Linked DNA regions of Arabidopsis thaliana. The protein of the gene in region 1 interacts with the protein of each later gene in a biochemical or structural test. Each region holds a gene or a part of one and is shown in the gene's direction. Other genes may lie near its edges. The genes, in order: CKB1 and CCA1.

Region 1 (4,641 bases):
TTATCTTCAGCGTCACGGCCAATCTCTCGAAGCCAATGATCATCAAGAGTCTCGTCATTGTCTATCTTTGCGTAATCCAAATGTTGATGATCTTCTCCCGATAAGAACTTCTGTTCCATGATTGATGTGAACTGATCCATCATATCTTGCATCTCCTCTGGCGGTAAGACTGTTGTTGCCTTCTCTTTCTGTTCTTTACCATTCAGACTTGAAGAGCTAGCTTCTGTAGGATTCTTCGCTTCTTCATCTTCTTCTTCTTCCTCCTCTTCTGATTCCTCCTCTTCCTCTTCTTCTGATTCCTCCATCTTCTCATTACCAACCCAATCACTCTCTGAAACACCTAACCTCTGCTGCTCCTCTCTAATACGAGTAACCAACACCGCTTCCTCAGCCCGTCTCATCAAAGTCTCAGACCAACGTTCTCCAGGCCTAGCCATGTTCCTTCCCATCACATCCTGAAACTTCCCAACATACTCATGATGTAGATACGGCTCTCTATCTCTCATAGCATCCTCTGAGAAATACTGTCCCTCGGATACAAGCTTATTCAAATAAGCCAATCTCCTATTCCTCACAGCTACAGACCTCGATTTAATCTCTTCTGAAGTCGGACTTATCTTCTTCCGCAGGTTTTTCAAATGCCAATCAACCTCGTAGTCATGTTTCATAGCATCAAACTCAAGCAATTCATCTACTAGTAGCTCCGATCCATATCTCTCTGAAATCATCAAAGCAAAAACAACTAATGCTTCAGTTCCCAAATCATATTTAATAAAAAAGTTTCATTCTAATAACATTACACACTCAATACTTAGATGATTATGAAGCCAAAACTCATCTATCTACTAACCTATGAACTAACCTAAGGACTAAAAACTTAACCTAATGAATCAATAGTTTCACCAAGTACTTAATTAAGGACTAAAAACTCAGTAACACATCCAATCATACTTAGACAAAATTGAAATTAGAATCGAGGAATTGGAGCAGAATAATGGAAAGTACCTAGAAAAACGGCGGGATCACGACGGAGGAGGTCGAGGAGGATGGATTTGCGTTGGTCGGAAGATGCAGCGGTTAATTGGACGGCGCGTGGAAAATAGAGATTGTCGAGAGAAGAGAGTCTCTCCGTTATATCTTCCGCCGCCGTGCCTTTCATTGTTGTTGCTTCCATCTCCATCGTCTTCTTCTTCTCTTCCATTGTTCTCCTCTCTCGGACTCGACCGACTGACTAAAGAAAGATGTAAATCGTCTCGTTCATGTGCTGGTCACGTGACAAGACTTTGCCGGTGTTCATCACCTGTTGGGCTTTCTTGGGCCATTTAAACCACTAATTGATGTTTTGGATGATGAATTGGTTAAAAGACAAATCGGTCATTTTTAAAACAAATTACAGCAAGAAAAACTGAAAGATTATCAAAAAAAAATCTAATAATATACGTGACATGAAAGATTATCATTAGTAAACTGTAAAAAAAAATCTTAAAATATTGTAATAATGTATGTGCCAACTATGTTATTAAAAAGACAAAAGAAATAATACAAAATTTTTTATTCTTTTATGTAAGTAATTTATGTCTATCTTGTTAAGTGAGCATATTTCTAAAAACAAATGTGGGCAACATTGGCAAAATGGCAATTAAAGAAACAAGAGCGGTCGTTGCTGTGCAGTGAAATGCTACGTGTTGAACCAGAAGTTAGTGGTTAGTTCGATTCGACCCATCTCTCCCACTACTTTCTCTCTAGTGGCTAGCTTAGCTACCGATTCACTCCCTCGTCTCCGGGAGCTCTTTATTTCTCTATTTCCCATTTTACCCCTATAATTTTTTTTCAAATCAAAAATTAAACGGTGACCAAAAAATAAAATAATAATCTTTCTCTGTACGAAACAGACTAGTTGCGAAACGCGAAAGAACAAGATTCGACAAAAGCTAAAAATAAAATAAAAGAAGAAGCAAAACCCTAGAGCTCAAGGTAATCGCCGTCGATTTCTCAATCTCTCACCGGCGATTACATGCCGATGAAAGTTGTACAATAGCTGCTGTAAGAGAGAGATTTATCAGGTATTTTTAGAATCATGTATAGAGACAGAGGAACGGTGAATTCGAGACCTGAAGTTGTGGATCGTAAACGGATCAACGACGCTCTTGAACGTCCTTCTCCTTCAACCTCTCGTCAAGTTAACGGCAAAGGCAAAGGAACCGTTACGGCGGCGACGACGACGGCGAACTTGATTGGGAAGCAGCAGTCGAATAACATCAACCATAGAGATTCTCGTTCTGCTTCTCTCTCGAAGAACAATACGGTTTCTGATGGTTAGTCTCTCTTGCTCTATTGAAATCGAATCTACATTTAGAAACAGATACTTAACCCTAGAGTTTCCTGATTTGGGAATCAAGTTTTGATCTTTATGTTTAGTATCTTATCTCCATGAGCTGAATTAAGCAAATTCCTTTATTAGCCTATGGAATTTTTGATGTGAATAGATGAATCAGACACAGATAGTGAAGAATCAGATGTGAGTGGTTCTGATGGAGAGGACACTTCATGGATATCTTGGTTTTGTAATCTAAGAGGAAACGAGTTCTTTTGTGAAGTTGATGATGATTACATTCAAGATGACTTCAACTTGTGTGGACTCAGCAGTCTAGTTCCCTACTACGAGTACGCTCTTGATTTGATTTTGGATGTTGAATCTTCTCAAGGTAAGTTGTTATCCTTTTATTAGTTTTTGCGGTTTAGCTAGGTACAGGCACAGCATCTGCATTTAGGGATAGTAGGGAAACCGATATGGGTTCGCTTTTACGATTGTGTCTCTTGAATGTTTGATTTGGATTGGTCGGTAACAGGAGAGATGTTTACAGAGGAACAGAATGAATTGATCGAGTCAGCAGCTGAGATGTTGTATGGACTGATTCATGCTCGTTACATATTGACTAGCAAAGGATTGGCAGCAATGGTAAACAAAATCCTTAAACACTCATTTGCATGTCTTTCACATTCTATAAAAGATTCACAGATTGATTCTGTTTATTTGCAGTTAGACAAATACAAAAACTATGACTTTGGAAGATGTCCAAGAGTTTATTGCTGTGGCCAACCTTGTCTTCCGGTTGGTCAATCAGACTTACCGCGATCTAGCACTGTGAAGATATATTGCCCGAAATGCGAAGACATTTATTACCCACGATCAAAGTATCAAGGCAGTATCCTTTTTTCTACAGTTTCACTTCTGCTGATATAGAGTTATATAAATGCAGTTCTGAAAAACTTTGATGTTTGATTCTTATTGCATGAAGAAATGATTTTTCTTTTGAGTTTCTAGTGATCTTTGGTGTTACCTTTTTTTGCGGTTTTCCTTAAAAGAATGAACAGACATTGATGGAGCTTACTTTGGGACAACGTTTCCACATCTGTTCCTGATGACTTATGGGCATCTCAAGCCAGCGAAGGCAACACAAAACTATGTTCAAAGAGTGTTTGGGTTCAAATTACACAAACCGTGAAGGAAGTTTGACGACAAAACCCAAGGATCAAGATCATGGCGTTGGAATGGAACTGAGAAAAGAAGAGACGTGTGTGAACAGAAACGGAAAATAAAACGCACTGTAATCACACGAATGGTGAAGAGAGCATTCATGTCTCTATTTGTCTTCAGGTACATACACATTAGAAGAAAGCAAAAGCATGGTTAGAAAGAAAAAAAACACGAAAATCTTTTAATGAGTTTGTTAAACTTGAACATGTATTTTTCTACCTTCTGTAAACTTTTTTATTTTGTTTCTTTTCTCAGTGTCTGATTTAGTCATTTATCATTTAAAAAAGTATCCATTAAAATTTATCAAAGATTTCAATTTGTGAAGGAAGTTTAAAGGGTTGATTTGGAATCATTAAAATTATGTTGTTGTGGTTGACCGTCTGAATTATTGACCTACTTTCGTATTAATCAATTTTAATATTGTACTTATAGACCAATATGACTCAATCCAATAAATGTAAATATTGACTAAAAGTCACACGCTTTTAATAAAATTATTTTGGAGCTTTAGAAAGACGAGACGAGACCATATATGTGTCAAAACATTTTCAACGATTCAAAGCGTAGGATTATTTTATAATCTTAGGTAAACTATACAATTGCCTACATAGCAACTTTCATATTTAATCGGATTTTACCTCTCTATATCTATTTTTTTCAGTGTTCCATGATAATAAAAAGAGAATCGAAACTATTATACGAAAAAGAGAGCATATGATATTTAAAATGAAAAACAACAAAATATTAATTTGATTTTTTTCCTACCGGCACAAAATATTAATTTGATCAAGAACAAAATATAATAATATTTATCTTTACTTGTTTGTAAAGCAGTCACTAATATTTTTAAAACTCATAATAAATATCTAAAAACAAATTCTATTATCTTGTTTGACTAGTTTTTGTTGTCTAAACTTGACTAGCTTTATATCAAATTGATACTTTCCACTTGTATATATATATATGTTACTAAGAAAACATATGGATACTATAAAAAATATATTTGTTACTAAAAACTATCCATATTTTTTTACTACCATTATATCAAAAATGATAATATACATACGTAGATATATATATGTGTGTCTCTCTCTGTGTGATAT
Region 2 (6,065 bases), on another chromosome or scaffold:
ATCTTTTAGATAATAAACCTAATTGTTTCTGTTTTGTTTTTGTTTCTGTGAGATTCTTCCGAGGCTTGAAGCTCAATAGCTATGGCTTCTCTTTCAGTCTCTTCCTCTTCAACCATCATCGATTCAAGAGCTCCTCCTTCTCGACTAGCCTCCGCCTCCGCCTCTTCTCCGTCGTGCATTTCACTTCCCACACTTCCGATTCAGTCTCATACCCGTGCCGCTAAAGCCACTGCTTACTGTTCGTTTTCCATAAATCTGAAGATTTTTCTTTTCACTTTTAATTTCGAGTTTAAAGTTTCAAACTTTCGAAATGGGTTTTGGTTTTTAGGTCGGAAGATTGTGAGGAACGTTGTGACGAGAGCTACTACTGAAGTTGGTGAAGCTCCTGCCACTACTACCGAAGCTGAGACTACTGAGTTACCTGAAATCGTCAAGACTGCTCAAGAAGCTGTAAATACTCTTACTTTATTTATACAATGATGATTCTACCTCTTGCTTCTGGGTTACATGTACTGAATTTGGTTGTTTGGATTGAAGTGGGAGAAAGTGGATGACAAGTACGCTATTGGTTCTCTTGCCTTTGCTGGTGTAGTGGCTCTTTGGGGTTCTGCTGGAATGATTTCGGTGAGTAGAAGAATACTACTTTCTTCTTAAAACCCTAGTGTTAAATTTCCTTTATTTGATTCCAAAATTTGTTATTGTGAAACAGGCAATCGATAGGCTTCCATTGGTTCCTGGTGTTCTTGAACTTGTAGGCATCGGTTACACAGGAGTGAGTTTCTTCTTCTCTTTGTATCACTTGAACCAAAGCTCTCATGAACCTGTTTTGAGGATATAGATGATTCATCACTTCACTTTTGGATTTAGGATTAGTTCTCTGAATTTAGAATCCGAACATCTGCAATTCATATGGAGATATGATATCAGAAATTGATTGCTGCTTCTCGCTAGTGTTTCAATCTTAAAAGACGTGTGTAGTTTGTTTCAATTGTGTGATGGACCTTATTAACATTTGGTTTTTCTATGGCAGTGGTTCACTTACAAGAACCTGGTCTTCAAACCAGACAGGTTAACCAATTCTCTCTTTAACTCTGTGTTTGGTTGCATGTAATACTGAGAATGGAAGACTCAAATTCTCGAGGAAATTGTTTGTTATCTGTTTCAGGGAGGCTTTGTTTGAGAAGGTCAAGAGCACATACAAAGACATATTAGGGAGCAGCTGAATCAAAGGAGGAAGAAGAAGAAGAAGAGCCTTTTTGAGGCCATTCATGAATTGGAATGAAGGATATCAAAAGAATCTAACACAAAGGCCACGTCCTTCCTTCAATCTTTCCTTCTTGTAACTAAATAATTTTCATCCTTTCTCTCTCTCTGTCTCTGGTCTTTTTTAGCTCAAAGTATCATCCATTTATGTCAAAGTGTTGTAAATTCCTCAAGACTATATATGAGATGTTTTGTTTCATTTTCCAAAATTTCAAACTTTGTCCCCATTTAGTCTTCTACCCTTCATGCATGGTTAGCTTAGCTTAATGCTGAACTGTTGAATAACGATATGGGCCTTATGCTAAAAGAACAAAACCTTATGGGTCTAAAAAAAATAAGCCCAATATAAAACTATGGCCCAAATAAGTTTAGGTCCATTAGAGTGTGAGAATAGCGCGTGTAGTGAACCGCACGAGAATGCGCGTTCGATTGTTGGTGAAGTAGTCGTCTAGATTCCCGGGTCCACTGATGTTTCTAGTGTATCAGACACGTGTCGACAAACTGGTGGGAGAGATTAACGATCTTAAGTAGGTCCCACTAGATCAAGATATTATAACGAATTGACCTTTTTAACCTTTCAGGTAGTCCCGGAACTCGTGGCCTAGAATACAAAGAAGGTTGTGAACAAGTTGATGTTAAGATGGACAAGAATGTAACTTGAACAAAAGCTGAATCATCTCTTCAGCCACTAGTATGTTGACATATGGCAGTTTCTTTTGTAGCCTCGAAATAAATAAATTAAAAAGTTTGAGGTTAAAGATAATTATAGTGGCTGAGATTTCTCCATTTCCGTAGCTTCTGGTCTCTTTTCTTTGTTTCATTGATCAAAAGCAAATCACTTCTTCTTCTTCTTCTTCTCGATTTCTTACTGTTTTCTTATCCAACGAAATCTGGAATTAAAAATGGAATCTTTATCGAATCCAAGCTGATTTTGTTTCTTTCATTGAATCATCTCTCTAAAGGTACTTAAGATTGATTTATTGTCATGGTCTTTCTTATTGTTTGATGAATAACTTGACTTGATTGTTTTTTGTTTTGTGGATTAGTGGAATTTTGTAAAGAGAAGATCTGAAGTTGTGTAGAGGAGCTTAGTGATGGAGACAAATTCGTCTGGAGAAGATCTGGTTATTAAGGTAAATTAAACTAAATTTTAGGGGGAAGATGATTGTTTTAGGTGTCAAAGATTGAGAATTTTAATGAAACTTGATATAGACTCGGAAGCCATATACGATAACAAAGCAACGTGAAAGGTGGACTGAGGAAGAACATAATAGATTCATTGAAGCTTTGAGGCTTTATGGTAGAGCATGGCAGAAGATTGAAGGTTGATTTTTATTTCCCTTTATATGTCTTATTTTTTGTGTTTGCAGAGGTTTGTCTTCAAACTGATTTGCTTTTTTTCATTTGGACAGAACATGTAGCAACAAAAACTGCTGTCCAGATAAGAAGTCACGCTCAGAAATTTTTCTCCAAGGTAAAATCGGTTAATTTTGAAATGATGTTCTCATCTTCATTGGCTTAATGCTTAAGACTTATTGAAAGCCAGGCAAGTTTTCTGCTTCTTTTGCTTCTTAGTCAGGAGATAGATAGATTACGTTTTTAGAGTTTAGTAATGAGCAATAAGTCTTAAAATAGTTGGAGAAATGACGAGATGTAATCGTTTTCTTTTGTTTATGCCTATATCTTGTTAATCCACAAACATGTACATAGATTCTTCAGAAGAATGTTAGTTTCTTTAGATTCTTCAGATAAACTTGTGTCTTCTTACCGATTCTGAGGTAGTGGCAAAAGTGGGCTGAGTGCTAGAAATTTTTGAATGTTCCTTGTGATAAGCCATAGAGGTAAACCATTTTTGATTTTCCAGTTCTGTCATTTAAACTTGTTAGTGTCATTAGATTTTTGTTTGTTTACGTTTGTTTAGAGGGTAACAAAACTACTCTCATCTCTCTCAGGTAGAGAAAGAGGCTGAAGCTAAAGGTGTAGCTATGGGTCAAGCGCTAGACATAGCTATTCCTCCTCCACGGCCTAAGCGTAAACCAAACAATCCTTATCCTCGAAAGACGGGAAGTGGAACGATCCTTATGTCAAAAACGGGTGTGAATGATGGAAAAGAGTCCCTTGGATCAGAAAAAGTGTCGCATCCTGAGGTGATTTTCATGGTCATATGGCATCTTTTTGCAGTGTGTCACATTGCTCCTCATGTTATTAATACAGATTGTGTGCTTCGTTTATAGATGGCCAATGAAGATCGACAACAATCAAAGCCTGAAGAGAAAACTCTGCAGGAAGACAACTGTTCAGATTGTTTCACTCATCAGTATCTCTCTGCTGCATCCTCCATGAATAAAAGTTGTATAGAGACATCAAACGCAAGCACTTTCCGCGAGTTCTTGCCTTCACGGGAAGAGGTAAAAAACAATCTTTCATTGCTATTTGAGGTTTTAAGACGATTAGTACTTTTCATGAAACTAAAACCGTGGGGGAATAACAGGGAAGTCAGAATAACAGGGTAAGAAAGGAGTCAAACTCAGATTTGAATGCAAAATCTCTGGAAAACGGTAATGAGCAAGGACCTCAGACTTATCCGATGCATATCCCTGTGCTAGTGCCATTGGGGAGCTCAATAACAAGTTCTCTATCACATCCTCCTTCAGAGCCAGATAGTCATCCCCACACAGTTGCAGGAGATTATCAGTCGTTTCCTAATCATATAATGTCAACCCTTTTACAAACACCGGCTCTTTATACTGCCGCAACTTTCGCCTCATCATTTTGGCCTCCCGATTCTAGTGGTGGCTCACCTGTTCCAGGGAACTCACCTCCGAATCTGGCTGCCATGGCCGCAGCCACTGTTGCAGCTGCTAGTGCTTGGTGGGCTGCCAATGGATTATTACCTTTATGTGCTCCTCTTAGTTCAGGTGGTTTCACTAGTCATCCTCCATCTACTTTTGGACCATCATGTGATGTAGAGTACACAAAAGCAAGCACTTTACAACATGGTTCTGTGCAGAGCCGAGAGCAAGAACACTCCGAGGCATCAAAGGCTCGATCTTCACTGGACTCAGAGGATGTTGAAAATAAGAGTAAACCAGTTTGTCATGAGCAGCCTTCTGCAACACCTGAGAGTGATGCAAAGGGTTCAGATGGAGCAGGAGACAGAAAACAAGTTGACCGGTCCTCGTGTGGCTCAAACACTCCGTCGAGTAGTGATGATGTTGAGGCGGATGCATCAGAAAGGCAAGAGGATGGCACCAATGGTGAGGTGAAAGAAACGAATGAAGACACTAATAAACCTCAAACTTCAGAGTCCAATGCACGCCGCAGTAGAATCAGCTCCAATATAACCGATCCATGGAAGTCTGTGTCTGACGAGGTACTTACTTGGACTAAAGATCAACTTCCTTTATTTCAAATCATTTTCTCATATAAATATTGTACATTCAGGGTCGAATTGCCTTCCAAGCTCTCTTCTCCAGAGAGGTATTGCCGCAAAGTTTTACATATCGAGAAGAACACAGAGAGGAAGAACAACAACAACAAGAACAAAGATATCCAATGGCACTTGATCTTAACTTCACAGCTCAGTTAACACCAGTTGATGATCAAGAGGAGAAGAGAAACACAGGATTTCTTGGAATCGGATTAGATGCTTCAAAGCTAATGAGTAGAGGAAGAACAGGTTTTAAACCATACAAAAGATGTTCCATGGAAGCCAAAGAAAGTAGAATCCTCAACAACAATCCTATCATTCATGTGGAACAGAAAGATCCCAAACGGATGCGGTTGGAAACTCAAGCTTCCACATGAGACTCTATTTTCATCTGATCTGTTGTTTGTACTCTGTTTTTAAGTTTTCAAGACCACTGCTACATTTTCTTTTTCTTTTGAGGCCTTTGTATTTGTTTCCTTGTCCATAGTCTTCCTGTAACATTTGACTCTGTATTATTCAACAAATCATAAACTGTTTAATCTTTTTTTTTCCAACCTGGAAAGAACTTCACTCAAGGGGCTCTTGTTCTTGATATATGCAAACGACAGAGTTCCAAAACGTAATCTTAGCCCATCCATCACCCTTAAGTTGTCTCATAACTCATAAGTAAGCACAAAAGCACCACACAAATAAGCAAACTCTACTTCCTTATGTCATCACATAAATAGAAAGGCAAGCAGCCAAAGGCAAGCAGTAGCAAGTACAACAGAGTTGTTACAAAAAAGGATTAAATAAAAACAGAAGTTATAAGGATAAATCCAACCACACCCATGAAATGACCCCATATCTTTTATTTGGCCGTCTCCTTGTCTTCAAAGCTGCTTTTGCACCTCACCAGACTCTTTTTCAGCTTGCTATAATCATCTGCCATCTCTTTCTCCATCCCTTTTTGTTGTCTGAGGGATTCACGTCTCATCTTGCGGAGAACTAACAGCGTGAGGACCTGTGATAAAGGTTCTGCAACGTCGAAACCCTGCTCCTCGAACATTTTAAATGTCTCTCTGTAGACATCTAGTTCACTTTTTGGAGTGTCCTCACACATACCATCTACTGTCTTTACACAATCGATAAAAGCTGCAGTCAGATAGGCTGCAGTCGGTTCACCAAAACTTGGATGCGTGTAAGCCAATGATGGGAAGTGAGGACGTTGTGGTGTTCTTTTGTAGACCTCATCAGACTCAAACTCTTTCCACGAAGCTAAAGTCTTGGTAAAAGGCAAAACAATTTCCTCACCAGCTGATCCTCCTGTAGGAGCTGACCACCAACACAAAACAATGAGAATTGCGTAAGTGTACACGTATCTAGCTAGTTG

What was found.
Region 2: the proteins of CKB1 (region 1) and CCA1 form a complex in vitro, tested with the Arabidopsis thaliana proteins (one study listed by BioGRID).

What each region holds. Positions count from the first base shown.
Region 1 is NC_003076.8:19,123,834-19,128,474, reverse strand, and holds CKB1 (casein kinase II beta chain 1), read left to right. Parts: upstream 1-1,780; 5' UTR 1,781-2,077; coding exon 2,078-2,315; intron 2,316-2,486; coding exon 2,487-2,705; intron 2,706-2,849; coding exon 2,850-2,959; intron 2,960-3,040; coding exon 3,041-3,206; coding exon of another isoform or gene 3,207-3,244; exon of another isoform or gene 3,245-3,375; coding exon 3,376-3,506; 3' UTR 3,507-3,912; downstream 3,913-4,641. Other genes in the region: AT5G47090 (coiled-coil protein), read right to left, coding at 1-718, 1,006-1,201. UniProt on the Arabidopsis thaliana protein: Plays a complex role in regulating the basal catalytic activity of the alpha subunit.
Region 2 is NC_003071.7:19,243,648-19,249,712, forward strand, and holds CCA1 (circadian clock associated 1), read left to right. Parts: upstream 1-1,943; 5' UTR 1,944-2,225; intron 2,226-2,309; 5' UTR 2,310-2,357; coding exon 2,358-2,396; intron 2,397-2,475; coding exon 2,476-2,587; intron 2,588-2,675; coding exon 2,676-2,737; exon of another isoform or gene 2,738-3,104; intron 3,105-3,215; coding exon 3,216-3,410; intron 3,411-3,497; coding exon 3,498-3,671; intron 3,672-3,754; coding exon 3,755-4,636; intron 4,637-4,707; coding exon 4,708-5,070; 3' UTR 5,071-5,268; downstream 5,269-6,065. Other genes in the region: PSI-P (photosystem I P subunit), read left to right, coding at 82-238, 329-450, 538-624, 710-772, 1,031-1,068, 1,166-1,223; DUF4 (hypothetical protein (DOMAIN OF UNKNOWN FUNCTION 724 4)), read right to left, coding at 5,544-6,007. UniProt on the Arabidopsis thaliana protein: Transcription factor involved in the circadian clock and in the phytochrome regulation. Binds to the promoter regions of APRR1/TOC1 and TCP21/CHE to repress their transcription. Binds to the promoter regions of CAB2A and CAB2B to promote their transcription.